Daphnia pulex: one gene and its partners. The protein of the gene in region 1 purifies or fractionates together with the protein of each later gene. This does not show direct contact. Links are inferred from orthologs where the notes say so. Each region holds a gene or a part of one and is shown on either strand. Other genes may lie near its edges.

Region 1 (4,094 bases):
TAGACGTATAAAGATATTTGAAACGAGTAAACTAGAAAGTTTTATAAAATACCGAACGATACAGGAACAGACGATCGCTCAGGAATGTAAAAACCTGTGCCAAAAAAGGAAATCAAAAATAAAACCACTCCTTGTAACACACACACGTATAAATTTGCACCTTGAAACATTCTCCCTCGTCCCATCCGGCGATGAATGATTGCAACACAGCGCCAACGAAAGGGAGTGTATCGATTGAGTTGGCAGATTCTTTCTTTTCCACCAAACGTTGGACCTGCAAGTGGAGTCAACTTTTTGAAATAGGCAATCTAAAGCAACGTGAGAGAGTTTTTGTGTAACCGTTTCAATGTGGTGGTAGAAGAATTTGAGTCTGGAATCAACGGTGAAGAGGAAACTGGTGCGTTTCAATAGTTGACCAACGTGGAAACTCTGTCGATTCAGAACAACGTTAAATGTGAGGCACAAATTGATTCATGTTATTTCATTTAGGTGATAATTACGTGACGAAAAATGTGATGATTCGAGGTAGTCAATAGGCGAGCGACTCTTTGTGCGAAATCCTCTCCCATGATGTAGATGTAAATGACTTTTCCCATGGCCTTGGAGGAGATTGCCATTTGACTCAATTCATCCACTGAATAGCCAACGTATTTACAGAGTTAATCAATACAATTGCCACACTAATAAAAAGGGATATAGTTACGTGTAAGACAACGAAAAATGTAGAACATGAGGTCTTCTGTGAGTTTGCCGAACAGGGAATCTTTCAAGTCCGGAGCCAGATGTTGGTCAATCGACATTTCCATAACTTTTCTTTTCTTGTGGCCGAATTTAGACATTATGGACTCTAAGGTATGTTTAAAGCCTCTAGTCGAGGTTGATTGCTTCTTGTCGGTCATTTTCTTTAGATTAATTGTGTTGGTGCACTCGGGAGTAAAATTGGTAGGCCCACCACATCGAGCCGAGGAAAGACTAATGAGTTTTCGTTTTCGATAATCCCTTCCCCTAACCCTAAAATTCGCGCCCAAAAATCTGCACACGTGATCGACGTTGTTGCCAGTTCTTGTATTTATTTAATCATTCTTTTTTTTTAAATAAATATCAACTTATCAAGTATTCATTCTTTTTTAAATAAATACCACGTGGAGCCTTATTTTCCTGTTGAAAACAAAGTGCAGACTATAAATTGGATTATTTAGACTCGTTCTTTTTTCCTAAAACACAGATGGCTCTGCAAGAAGTAGGCGGGGTTTTCCAACCTCCAGAAAACGAGGTATCTAATTTTCCATCATTTAGTCAAAGTGTCTAGCCCTGACTCCATCAGACCACCGTGAAATTATTATTTTAATCCAGATGAAAGCATCCGCTTTTAATGTACGACCTTTTTCAAAAAGATGAGTTGCTAAGCTGAATGCAGTCAGATTCTTTAAACGGCTTTTTATCAGTTGGCAGTCCCCGTCCCCACACAGTCACACACACATCATCGTGCACGGTCTGAACGTTGCAAACTAGTCCAATATTTTATGAACATGCTCTGTATCATTTTCTGTAGGAGCTGAAATCTTCGTGTGTGCACAGGGTAACTATACAAGATCCCGTGTAGACCTTGTAGAAAGGACCGCCTGCTGCGACAGACCAGTCACGATCCGCATGGTATTTATTATTTGCAAGCAGCCCACGCAATTTTCTTGCAAATCTTTGACTGAAAAATGTCCTTTTCATGAATTTTTGGCTGGGGGGAGTGCCGAATGCATCATTTTGTCGATAAGCACTTGTGCACACACTCAGAGTTGCAGAGTCTAGGGAGTTTAGATTATCGCTGGTCGTGAGTCATATTCGATGACGTGCTGCTTATTATTACAAACCATGAAGAGATAACAAAACACAAGAAGGGCATTCACAAAAAACAACTTCGTTCGATCAAAGAATTCGGCTGGGTGGAGAAATGATACATGAAATAGACGTCGGATGTTGGCAGGCGGAAATGTATGGATATGGTTGTTGGTTGGAAGCGATCAAGAGGAAAACGGCGGTCGGCGATAGAATTAAATTTTGGTGTGACCTTTACTGTGTGTCTTGTAACGATTACGTATGCAAAATGCAGACAGGAAAAATATGACTTGGATTTTTTTGTTGCATCACGTTTCCACCAACGTTTCTTTGTCACCATTTTGTTTCCGCTGCCACGTTCCAGAACCAACAAATCAAGCCAAACCCGTTACTTGAATTCCATTCAAATTGTTGTGTGGTACATCATTGATATATATTTGTACGTGTCATGTCGTATCATTGCTCATAGGAACCTGGGGGAGTTCGTTCGGTACGATTAGAAATGGAATCGCTCTTCCATGTCACATACGTTTTTCTTTCATAATAAATCTATATATCTGTACTTGGGCAAAACCCCTCTGCATTATGAATGAATATTTGAGAAGTTTTCTTTTTTTAATGGATTGAATTCGATGTAGAGAAGGATGAATGATAAAATCAATTCGGTTTTGTTGGGGGATTTGTAGGTGGATTTCTGTCGAGTTGGCAACGTTGCGACAGTGCGGCCATATTGGTGGTTTTGACAGAAGAGAAGGGAAAGCTGACTATCCGAGTCGCCCACTGCCCTGTCGACGGCCGTGTCGGTTTCTCCTGTGACGCCCGGCACAAGACCCCCGAAATTTTTTTTTATCGGGAATCGAAAAAGACACAATTCATTCAGCAATAATTATCTGTCGTGCTAATTTTGTGTCCGTGTCTTGGTTTGCAGAAGGAAGAAAGAGCTGTTCTCGTGTCCTTTTTCCTCGTTGAAATTGTGTGTGTGTGTGTGCCCAGTTTGTCTGTCTTTGCCATCCGAAGGGAGTATTGATTTTCGGTGTATGTGTGTCTGAGAGTGTGAGAGCCCAGTGCGTGTGTGTAGCCGACGCCGTCTACCACTAACTATTTGGTGCTTTTTTGGGTGCAATTCTCTCTTTGAAGCTGTCGGTGGGATTGTAGGCCAACCCTCAAAATGACCAAGGACAGATTAGCAGCCCTCAAAGCTGTGAGTATACGTAACCATGTTCTCTTTGTTGTGCACAGCTCTTGTCGCTTGAAATTAATGCCTCGTAGTGCAACACTCATTTACTCCTCTTTTTGCATTCCTGCCGATTCAGGCACAAAGCGAGGATGACGACACAGGGCCAGATGATGTGGCCGTTACTGTTGAGGCCCAGGATGGATACATGGAGGCCTTCTTTGCAGAGGTAACTACCCTTCCGTTGACTTGTTTATTTAATCCCATTACATCTTTCAGCAGTTGGCCATAGCGTAATCATGGTCCGAGCATTTGCATAGACAAGACTCGAAAGAGATGAGGGACATGCACCTGAATAGATAGCACAAGAGTGTTCAGGTTGGAACGTGGAGCAATTTGGCTGATGGTGTTCTTTTCCGATGAGAGAGAGAGAGATAGCAGAGGGTGGAATTCATTAGCCATAATTGTGTTTGCGATTGGCTCTCATTCATGTTGGTAGTCTGCTTTTGATAGCGTGGCCAATAGTAGCGTAATGACAAGAGGCGCGGTAGCATCAGGAGCCCCTGATGAATTGCAGGGGGAATTGCATCAGCAGAACGCTGTAGAAGAGAGAGAGAAGCACTAGGCTTCTAGTCTTGAGCATTAAAATCTTGTTTCTTTCTTTCTCTCGTTGTTTGTTTCAAAGTAAAACTATATCCACCCCATCAGAGTGAGGCTTCCTTTCATCTACGACTGCGCAATCCCCTCTCGAGCTAAGAAATAGTCCATCACTTAAAGAATCTCGTGAACGAGGGGGGGAAAAAGTTTGCTAAGTTGTAATGATGAACGGCACACACACAGGGACACAACCACCATTGAGAAGGAAGGGCTTTGTTTGTTGGTTGACTGGCATGAAGACATGGTAGAGTAGCCTAGGCGTGCGGTAATCGAACGGAAGATGCGGCCGGGCGTGAAAAGCTGCTGGACATGTGATGGACGATTGGAATCGCTTTTCTATTTGTGTGGAAAATGAAAGAAAAATGTCAGAGGAGGTCAGCGATCTTTTTTGCGTGAGAGATGGATTCGATTTCATATGTGTGTGCTCTCATTT
Region 2 (4,194 bases), on another chromosome or scaffold:
ACAGAGTTGAAGTGTGTCTCAGTGTCGCAGTGATTATGTTGAGAGCATCATAACTATAGTCGAATTCCCGTTTTACGTCATCTCTTATTATTCTACTATTTAACGTACGAATTTCTCGCTTCTCGTTACAGGTGACTAACTCAAAAAGGAAGCGAAGATGGCGGCCGCAGTGGAAAATGGTGGTGCTCCCAAGACGGAATTGCAGGAATTGCAGATGAAATCAAACCAAGTCACCGATGAGGTAAGCCTGTCAACTCCATTCTCTAGATGAGGGCAGACGATCGTTTCACTTTCAGCCAGCCAAGTTTTCGTACGTCTAGTTCTTAACGATTGCCGTTTGACATCGGATAGCACTCGTGTCTCCGACATCCGAGAGGCGAGTGTGTGCCTGATATGTCAGGTCTGTTGATGTCGACAAGTCAACGCCATGCCCAGTTGCTGCTGGAATAGGTTAACTCGCAAATATTGACGGAAAAGTACTGAATAAAGGCTGGCCGTAACGGTATATATATTGCCAATGTCAGCAAATCAAATCCATTTATTGGAGTGAGTCAAGCCAAGAATGGAGTCTAGTTTGATGGGCTGTATGTTTTGATGTCTGAAGGCAGGGCGAAAAATGTTGCGAAATGCCCTTTTTTTATTTTTTTTATTTTGGTATTCATAAAACTGGGCCAGCCAATGTGGAAATGTCGCTGCTGCTGCGTAAAGGTGGAACTAATTCGTTGTTGGTACTTGGGGATGTTTGAGAATCTAACAGACTGAGCGCACGAGACCGTAGTTCGAAATTCGATAACTGCGTCAAACCGGATGCGCGCGGGCGCTTTGTGTGCGGCGCTGCCCCAGCGTTTTTGATCATCAAAGTCTTGTGCCTGCCCGAGCGGGCCGTTTTCGCCTCCCAGTCGCTTACCGCTTCTACTTGGTCCTCACGTCATTGTTGTGCGCGTGAACGGGCTCAACTTGATGCAACCGCGCCGCTTTACTTGACGAACACCCAGCTCTGCTCAGCTCTGCTCAGCTCTGCTCAGCTCTGCGTTTTCCATTGCATCTCGACAGATCGACCGAGCCGTTGCGAGTTGCTGTTGGTCCGCTTCCGGGAGACGGGACCGCATTTCCGGCATCTTTCATTCAGCATCTTCACAATCGCGTCAATTAGTTTAGCCCGGACCTCATTCCCGCCCGCACTCGCCCAGCCGGCCGGAGAGGAAGAGCCTCGTCGAGAACAATTTGAAGGAAGAGAAAGTCACACGGAGCGGAACACTTTTGGCGTGTGTGCGAATTATTCGTCTGCAAAGGGCGACGGAAACGGACTAGCGGTGTCATCGGACAGGTGCGCCGTTACAGAGCAGCCTGTTTCCGCCGTCCCGATCGATCCGCTCATCCCGGGTTTTTCTTTTTTTTTTCTCCCCCACTCCCCACTGGCAGAAAGCACTCTGAGCTGACCAAAAGCGGTGCTGTTTCGTTTTTCTCACCCGAGTCTCCGTCTCGACCTCCCAGTTGTCTCATCTGTAAAGCCGAAATTTGTGTCGTGACACCTGCGTTTTTTCCTTGGAACCGCCGACGACCCGAGATTTCGATTGCCCGCCATCCAGCCGAGTAACGTCTGACCCTCTTTTTGTTTGTTTTCAACGCTGTCTGTGTCAACGTATCGATCGTGAAAAACAGTAAGCAAAACAGAAAGTGAAAGTGGCGAGAAAAGTTGCTCTCCCCCTCTCCTTGTAAACTCGCTCATTGACGGACTCGCTCGATTGTCACGTATTTTTTCGACGACCGTGACGTACGTGCTCTGTCACTTCTTCTTCTTCTTCTCCTCCTCTACACCCACAGTCAACAACGGCCCCAATGTCTTCTTCATTAGTCTCTTTCTGCTGCGTCTCAGTCTTCGATCAGGTGGCAACTTATTTTCGGCGACGCTGTTGAACGATCGCTGGTGGCTGTGCTCGACCAATCTCCACATCTCTCCATTTCTTCCCGTCTCCTTTTTTGGGGTGATTGTAACCGGTCCTTTTTTGCCGTCGGACCTCCTTCCCAAGGGCAGCAACCGGAGCTTCCGACAAATCCACCACCAGCACCTAGATCAATCGTGAAACTCCATCGTCCCGGTTGGCTTCTAATTCCAGCCGAGAGCCAATAGACGACGTAACGGCGTCGCACACCCTCATCCGAACATTTGAAATCGAATCTTCCAATTGCACATCATTTACTCTCATCATATCCTATTGCATTTCTTGAGTGGTTGTTTGTTTGCCGGAAGAGATCGTTGTCGTGCCTTTTTCAGTCTATTTGAACTGGTGAAAGCATTGTGGAAGTGGAGAAACGCCGAACTACCTGGAAGTCGGATAACCCTGGAGTTCGTCAAATCTGCCCACAGGGATTGCGCGCGTTGGCTGACGTTACTTCCAACTCTCCCCCCCCCCCTTTCTCCAGTGGTTTTGTTGATGTAATTAGCGTCGCCCAAGTGCCCGTTCCTTGGCCTTTCTTTCGTTTCTTTCTTCCAACATTCATCTGACGTGTGCGCTTCTTTTATCTCTCGATCATCGGAGAGAGAGAGAGAGAGAGAGTCCCGACCGCCGTCCTATCTGTGCGTGTCGCACTCGTCTGTCGATATTTATGATGGCTATCCTCCGCGCCGAATAAGAAACTACAAGTCAAACTGGACTGCACGAGTGCTCCGACATTTTCCCCAAGTTGATAGTTTGGTCGCGTGCCGGACGTCACCGTTTCACTACAACGGACGTTTCCTGCCCTTATTTCGATTCCCAGTACTTTTTTCTTTCTTTCTCTCTCTCTTTTTCATATCCGTTCGTTGCGCGGCTCGGCGTTTTCTTCTCCGTCGTCCGACAGGAAAAGGAAGATTTTCCGAAAGTAAGAGAAAGATAGCAAGCTCGTGAGGAGTGTCGAGAAGTGGCGGAGCCTTAAGTCTGAATTTCCCCAATCGGAATGCACAACTGACGACGATTTGTGCCAAATCGACGCCAAAGGCAAAGATCGGAAATCCCGTGTGACTACCAATTTCCCAGGCCTTTTTACAAATGGTCGTCTAGAGGTGCCTGTCGTCGCCGCCGCCCGTAGGTATGGATCGCGTTACCATGGGAAACGATGACTCCGCCGACTACGTCACTGGTATCGGTATGTTAGCTGACTGCCGTCATGCACCTTCCACCATGCAACTCGTTCACTGAAATAGATACAACCAACAACCAACTACTTGAACTCCAGGAGGTAACCCAACCGCCGACATTCTATCGTGGTGGGGAGAAACAAACAAGTAAGCCGTCGCCAAAGCTATTGGGAGGCAAAGAGACGAGATAATCGTATCGTCGTCGGAGAACTTGAGCGTGTGTGTGTGTGTGTGTGTGCTGCTGCTGCTGCTGTTTATTGCGTTGTGTTCACGTCCAACCATTGTGCAATCATGGGGATCGAAACGGCGCCAGGTAACAAGAGTAAAGGCTCTTCGACGGCGGCTGCTACTGGACCCAACTCGGGCAAGAACCCACCGGCCAACCCTCCAGTTCGCCAGTTTGCCAATCAACTCCAACAAGATATCGAAGATGTTACCGTAGAGGTGAATATATCATGTATACGACCCGCTCCTCACCCAAAAAAACGAATACAACAATAAATATCATAGTTTGATACAGAGTAAGAAATGGCAGGACATTCTTCGTGCGCAATAGCGAGATTCAAGTCGATGTGTCACATAGTCTCTACTTACACGTCGGTTGGTGTCATAAGGTGACAGACAATCCATCAGTCCGTGTTAGGCGTTTTTTATTCAAAAGGTCCGAGAAAGGCTTTCAATGCTTTCAGCGGATACTTGAGCACGGAACTGAAAGAGAGATGGATAAACGCCACCGAGGCAACTGGATAGGGGGGCAGTTACAGAGAGACATATTTAGCGTCGTGCTAATCATCAGCTGTGCCCATTCGCTGCAGAAAAGATGCCGAACAGATAGAGAAACATGCAGCTGTGGACGAGTTTGTGTGTCGAAAACCCGCCTCTTAGCGTCATTTGCCAGGTTGCTGCCCCTTTTCCATTTTTAGAACACCTTCTTCTTTCTTCTTCTTCTTCTTCTTCTTGGTCTTGTTGTGACTCGGCCGGACGGCCGGAATAACCTTGTGCCGATCATCAAAGGCGCCGGTGTAGCGACGATAACGGCGCGAGACGAAAGATGCGCATGGGCAAGCACGTCAGAA
Region 3 (3,022 bases), on another chromosome or scaffold:
AGTAGATCGTCGAACACGCCTTTATTCTTTTCCATTAGAACACCACCGCCGCACAAATATTGCCACGCTCTGGGACGGATAGAACTGGGTATTCCTTTCCTACACCTGTCTCTTACCTGTTGATTACAAATAATTGGGTGTTAATAGAAACATGAAAGACAAGAAAAATAAAAGATATTGCCAAACCTTTTTGTATTTGTATGTCATATACTTTTCCCAATCATCTAACATGTTTAACCACTTCAGCTCTCTTTTGCGAAAAATGGCAATCATTGCTGGGTTTCTAAATTGAATTCAAAATAAGCAAATACAATAGTGTTAAACTAATAGGGGATTCAAGGGAAACAAATAAAACTTACATTTCAGTGTCATGACTGAACTGAGATCCTCCAAAGAAACCATATCTGTCGGGGACTGTTGATGCTATTGATCCACCATAAATAACACTGCTGACATCATCATCAACATCGGTTTGATTAAGGGAACCATTCATTGATTGGTTCTTTGTAAGAAGCTGTCTTTCCTGAGATTGGAACTGGGCAATGTCAGGAGCTGATAACACTGCATCATCAACTCCAAGGATCTCTCTGCTGAGCCTGTTTTGTCGTTTTGCTAGCTTCCTATCTCCACTAGGACCCTGTTCACATGAAGGCTGACGGTAGACTGATTCAGAACTAAAGGGTTCTAAATCAATCATATTGATTCGTTCAAGTCTTTCAAGACTTTTTCGAAATGTACGTCTTTCCACAGTTGTTGCACTGCCATCATGGGCTGTTTCGACGTTGCGAAGGAACGGAGATGTTATCACTTGAAGTGATAATGGCTCGTGACGAGTGGCCATTGATTATTTCAAATATTTCGCAATTATTTTATCAGGAAATAAGGCACTCATGATACTGACACGTTCTAAGGACAGTTGCGTGACTTCACACGTAGATATTTTGATCACGGGAAAACAAGTGAAGTAAGTAAGAAGGGCTGCTATGACGAGAAAGAGGTGGGCTGTTCCCTCAGCCTGGTGAAGCCTCGCAACATTCCTTAAATTAGCTAATTTTATTAAATATTACTGATTCATATGAATGAATAATAATAGAGAATTATTTTTTGAAATTTTTAAATGAACTTAAAAATAATAATATGTTTTAATTGATTTGATTTATGTTACTTACAATTTTATTAAATCATTACTTTTGTCGTCGCTAGAGGGAAGACATCAAACCTTGGTTACGACTCTCGGCAGTCTCTTTAAAGGCCTTGACAGCTTCGGAGGGCATGCGAAAGTGAGTGAGCAACAAATAATACATACAAGGAAAAGTGTATTAGTGTCGAAAAAACTATGGCTGGATCCAGTGGGCGTTACGTCAAGTCTAAAGGTTCAAATCCATTTTTTGACGATGAAGACGACGTGGACGACGAAGAATTTCTACAAAGGGCACCCAATAGGTTCAATAACTTTGGAGGAAAATTAGCCAATAGTTTGTCGGGCGGAAATAACAGTTTCCAACCTCTGGACGGAGGAGAAAATCAGAGCGCCGATGAACGTAGACGACAACTTCTTATGGAGAAACAGAAAATAGAAGAACGTACTTTGCAGGCTTCAGGGCGAGCTAAAGGAATGTTGTATGAGACTGAGCAGATTGGAATCTCCACCGCTGAGGTTTGCACATAAGCTTACATTAGAAAACCACTTAAAACTTGATTCATTTTCCCCTTGAAAATACCCAACCAGGACTTGGTAAGGCAGAGGGAACAGTTAGAGAGAACTGGGAGCCGACTGGATGAAATGAATAATTCATTGAGGACTTCAGAGAGACACATACAGAATATCAAGGTAGTCTATCTATATTTTATAGCATTGGTTGGTTGTTTTTTCCTTAACACAGATTTCATTGATTTTTAGAGTGTGTTTAGCAGTATGAAGAACTACTTTTCTAAGCCTTCAGAGCCACTCAAAAACTCTTCTGAAGGGTCTTTGTTAAAGCCTAGTTCCAGTAGTAGTAGTAGCAATCTTTCCAAGGTACTTGAGCAAACATCATCACCGATTGACCGAGACTCACCATCACAGCAACAGCACCCAGCATTGAGGATTAAAGGACTTGAAAATGATTTTAGTCACAAACCTCTTTCCAATGTCGACGAGCAGCTAGAGCAAGATCTGGGTGACATGAGTTTGTCCCTGTCCCGTCTGAAAGGTCTCGCCCAGGGATTGTCGACTGAACTGGAAGATCAGAACACGTTGATCGATCGGTTGCAGACTGGTGCCGACAAGGCTGACTGGAGAATCCAGCGTCAAAATAAAGATATGGAACGTCTTCTGAAAAAGTGAAAACCCCACGAGTCCATGTTGTTTCCAACTTGTGATACACAAAGAATTAGAATTGAATGAAGAAAAAAAAACTCTTTTTGTTTTAAATAAGAAAATCTGTCCCCCTCTTTTTGCGCACCAAGGTAAATTGCCAGCACACTCCCAGTGTGTATATATATTATATATTCATGGAATAATACATTTAGGTGAAACACGGTCTGATAAAAAGAAAGAAAAAAATGATTATTTGCATGAATTCAATTGGGGATAAGTTTACTAGGTATTTTATTAGTATATGAAAATTTTTTCCTGAGAGTGTTTAATCATCCGCAAGGAATTTTGCAGATGTTGTGGAAAGATGAGCGGACGTGGTGATCGTGTTATTGCCTGTTTCACGATTCGATGATCATGAGAACGAAACGAGCCGGACGGTATGAATGGCAATTTTTTTTTTCGTTTTGAGAAACTTGTTTTAGTTGACAAGAACATATCCACACAATGTCCTGATGGGCCAGCTTGTCTTTGCGGATGTCTGCACCAGCTGTTATTACGGTTCATTTGTTGATTTTAGCCGCACACTAAATTGCCATTGTCTTCGTTTGGCGACTGTTTTCTGTTTCCGTTTTACAACAGAAGACCATTGGTCGGAGTTCCAGTTCATACAAACCGCAAACGTAGCACCTTGAAATGTGGAAAAAGGGGAATTGGCCGCACATT

Evidence for each region. The genes of interacting proteins can lie anywhere in the genome.
Region 2: the proteins of syntaxin-like (region 1) and synaptosomal-associated protein 25-like purify together in Drosophila melanogaster (affinity purification with western blotting; 4 studies listed by BioGRID, with this or other methods). This does not show direct contact. The link is inferred for Daphnia pulex from reciprocal best matches to the Drosophila melanogaster genes Syx1A and Snap25.
Region 3: the proteins of syntaxin-like (region 1) and synaptosomal-associated protein 29-like purify together in Drosophila melanogaster (affinity purification with mass spectrometry; 3 studies listed by BioGRID, with this or other methods). This does not show direct contact. The link is inferred for Daphnia pulex from reciprocal best matches to the Drosophila melanogaster genes Syx1A and Snap29.

The regions. Positions count from the first base shown.
Region 1 is NC_060028.1:8,243,177-8,247,270, reverse strand, and holds the start of syntaxin-like, read left to right. Parts: upstream 1-1,294; 5' UTR 1,295-1,492; intron 1,493-1,552; 5' UTR 1,553-1,653; intron 1,654-2,516; 5' UTR 2,517-2,998; coding exon 2,999-3,031; intron 3,032-3,143; coding exon 3,144-3,233; intron 3,234-4,094. Other genes in the region: F-box only protein 47-like, read right to left, coding at 53-94, 161-274, 340-429, 501-634, 704-899.
Region 2 is NC_060020.1:8,651,190-8,655,383, forward strand, and holds the start of synaptosomal-associated protein 25-like, read left to right. Parts: upstream 1-1,394; 5' UTR 1,395-3,409; coding exon 3,410-3,562; intron 3,563-4,194. UniProt on the Drosophila melanogaster protein: May play an important role in the synaptic function of specific neuronal systems. Associates with proteins involved in vesicle docking and membrane fusion.
Region 3 is NC_060025.1:1,294,250-1,297,271, forward strand, and holds synaptosomal-associated protein 29-like, read left to right. Parts: upstream 1-1,217; 5' UTR 1,218-1,336; coding exon 1,337-1,657; exon of another isoform or gene 1,658-1,729; coding exon 1,730-1,831; exon of another isoform or gene 1,832-1,900; coding exon 1,901-2,326; 3' UTR 2,327-2,522; downstream 2,523-3,022. Other genes in the region: TBC1 domain family member 10A-like, read right to left, coding at 1-116, 187-283, 360-841.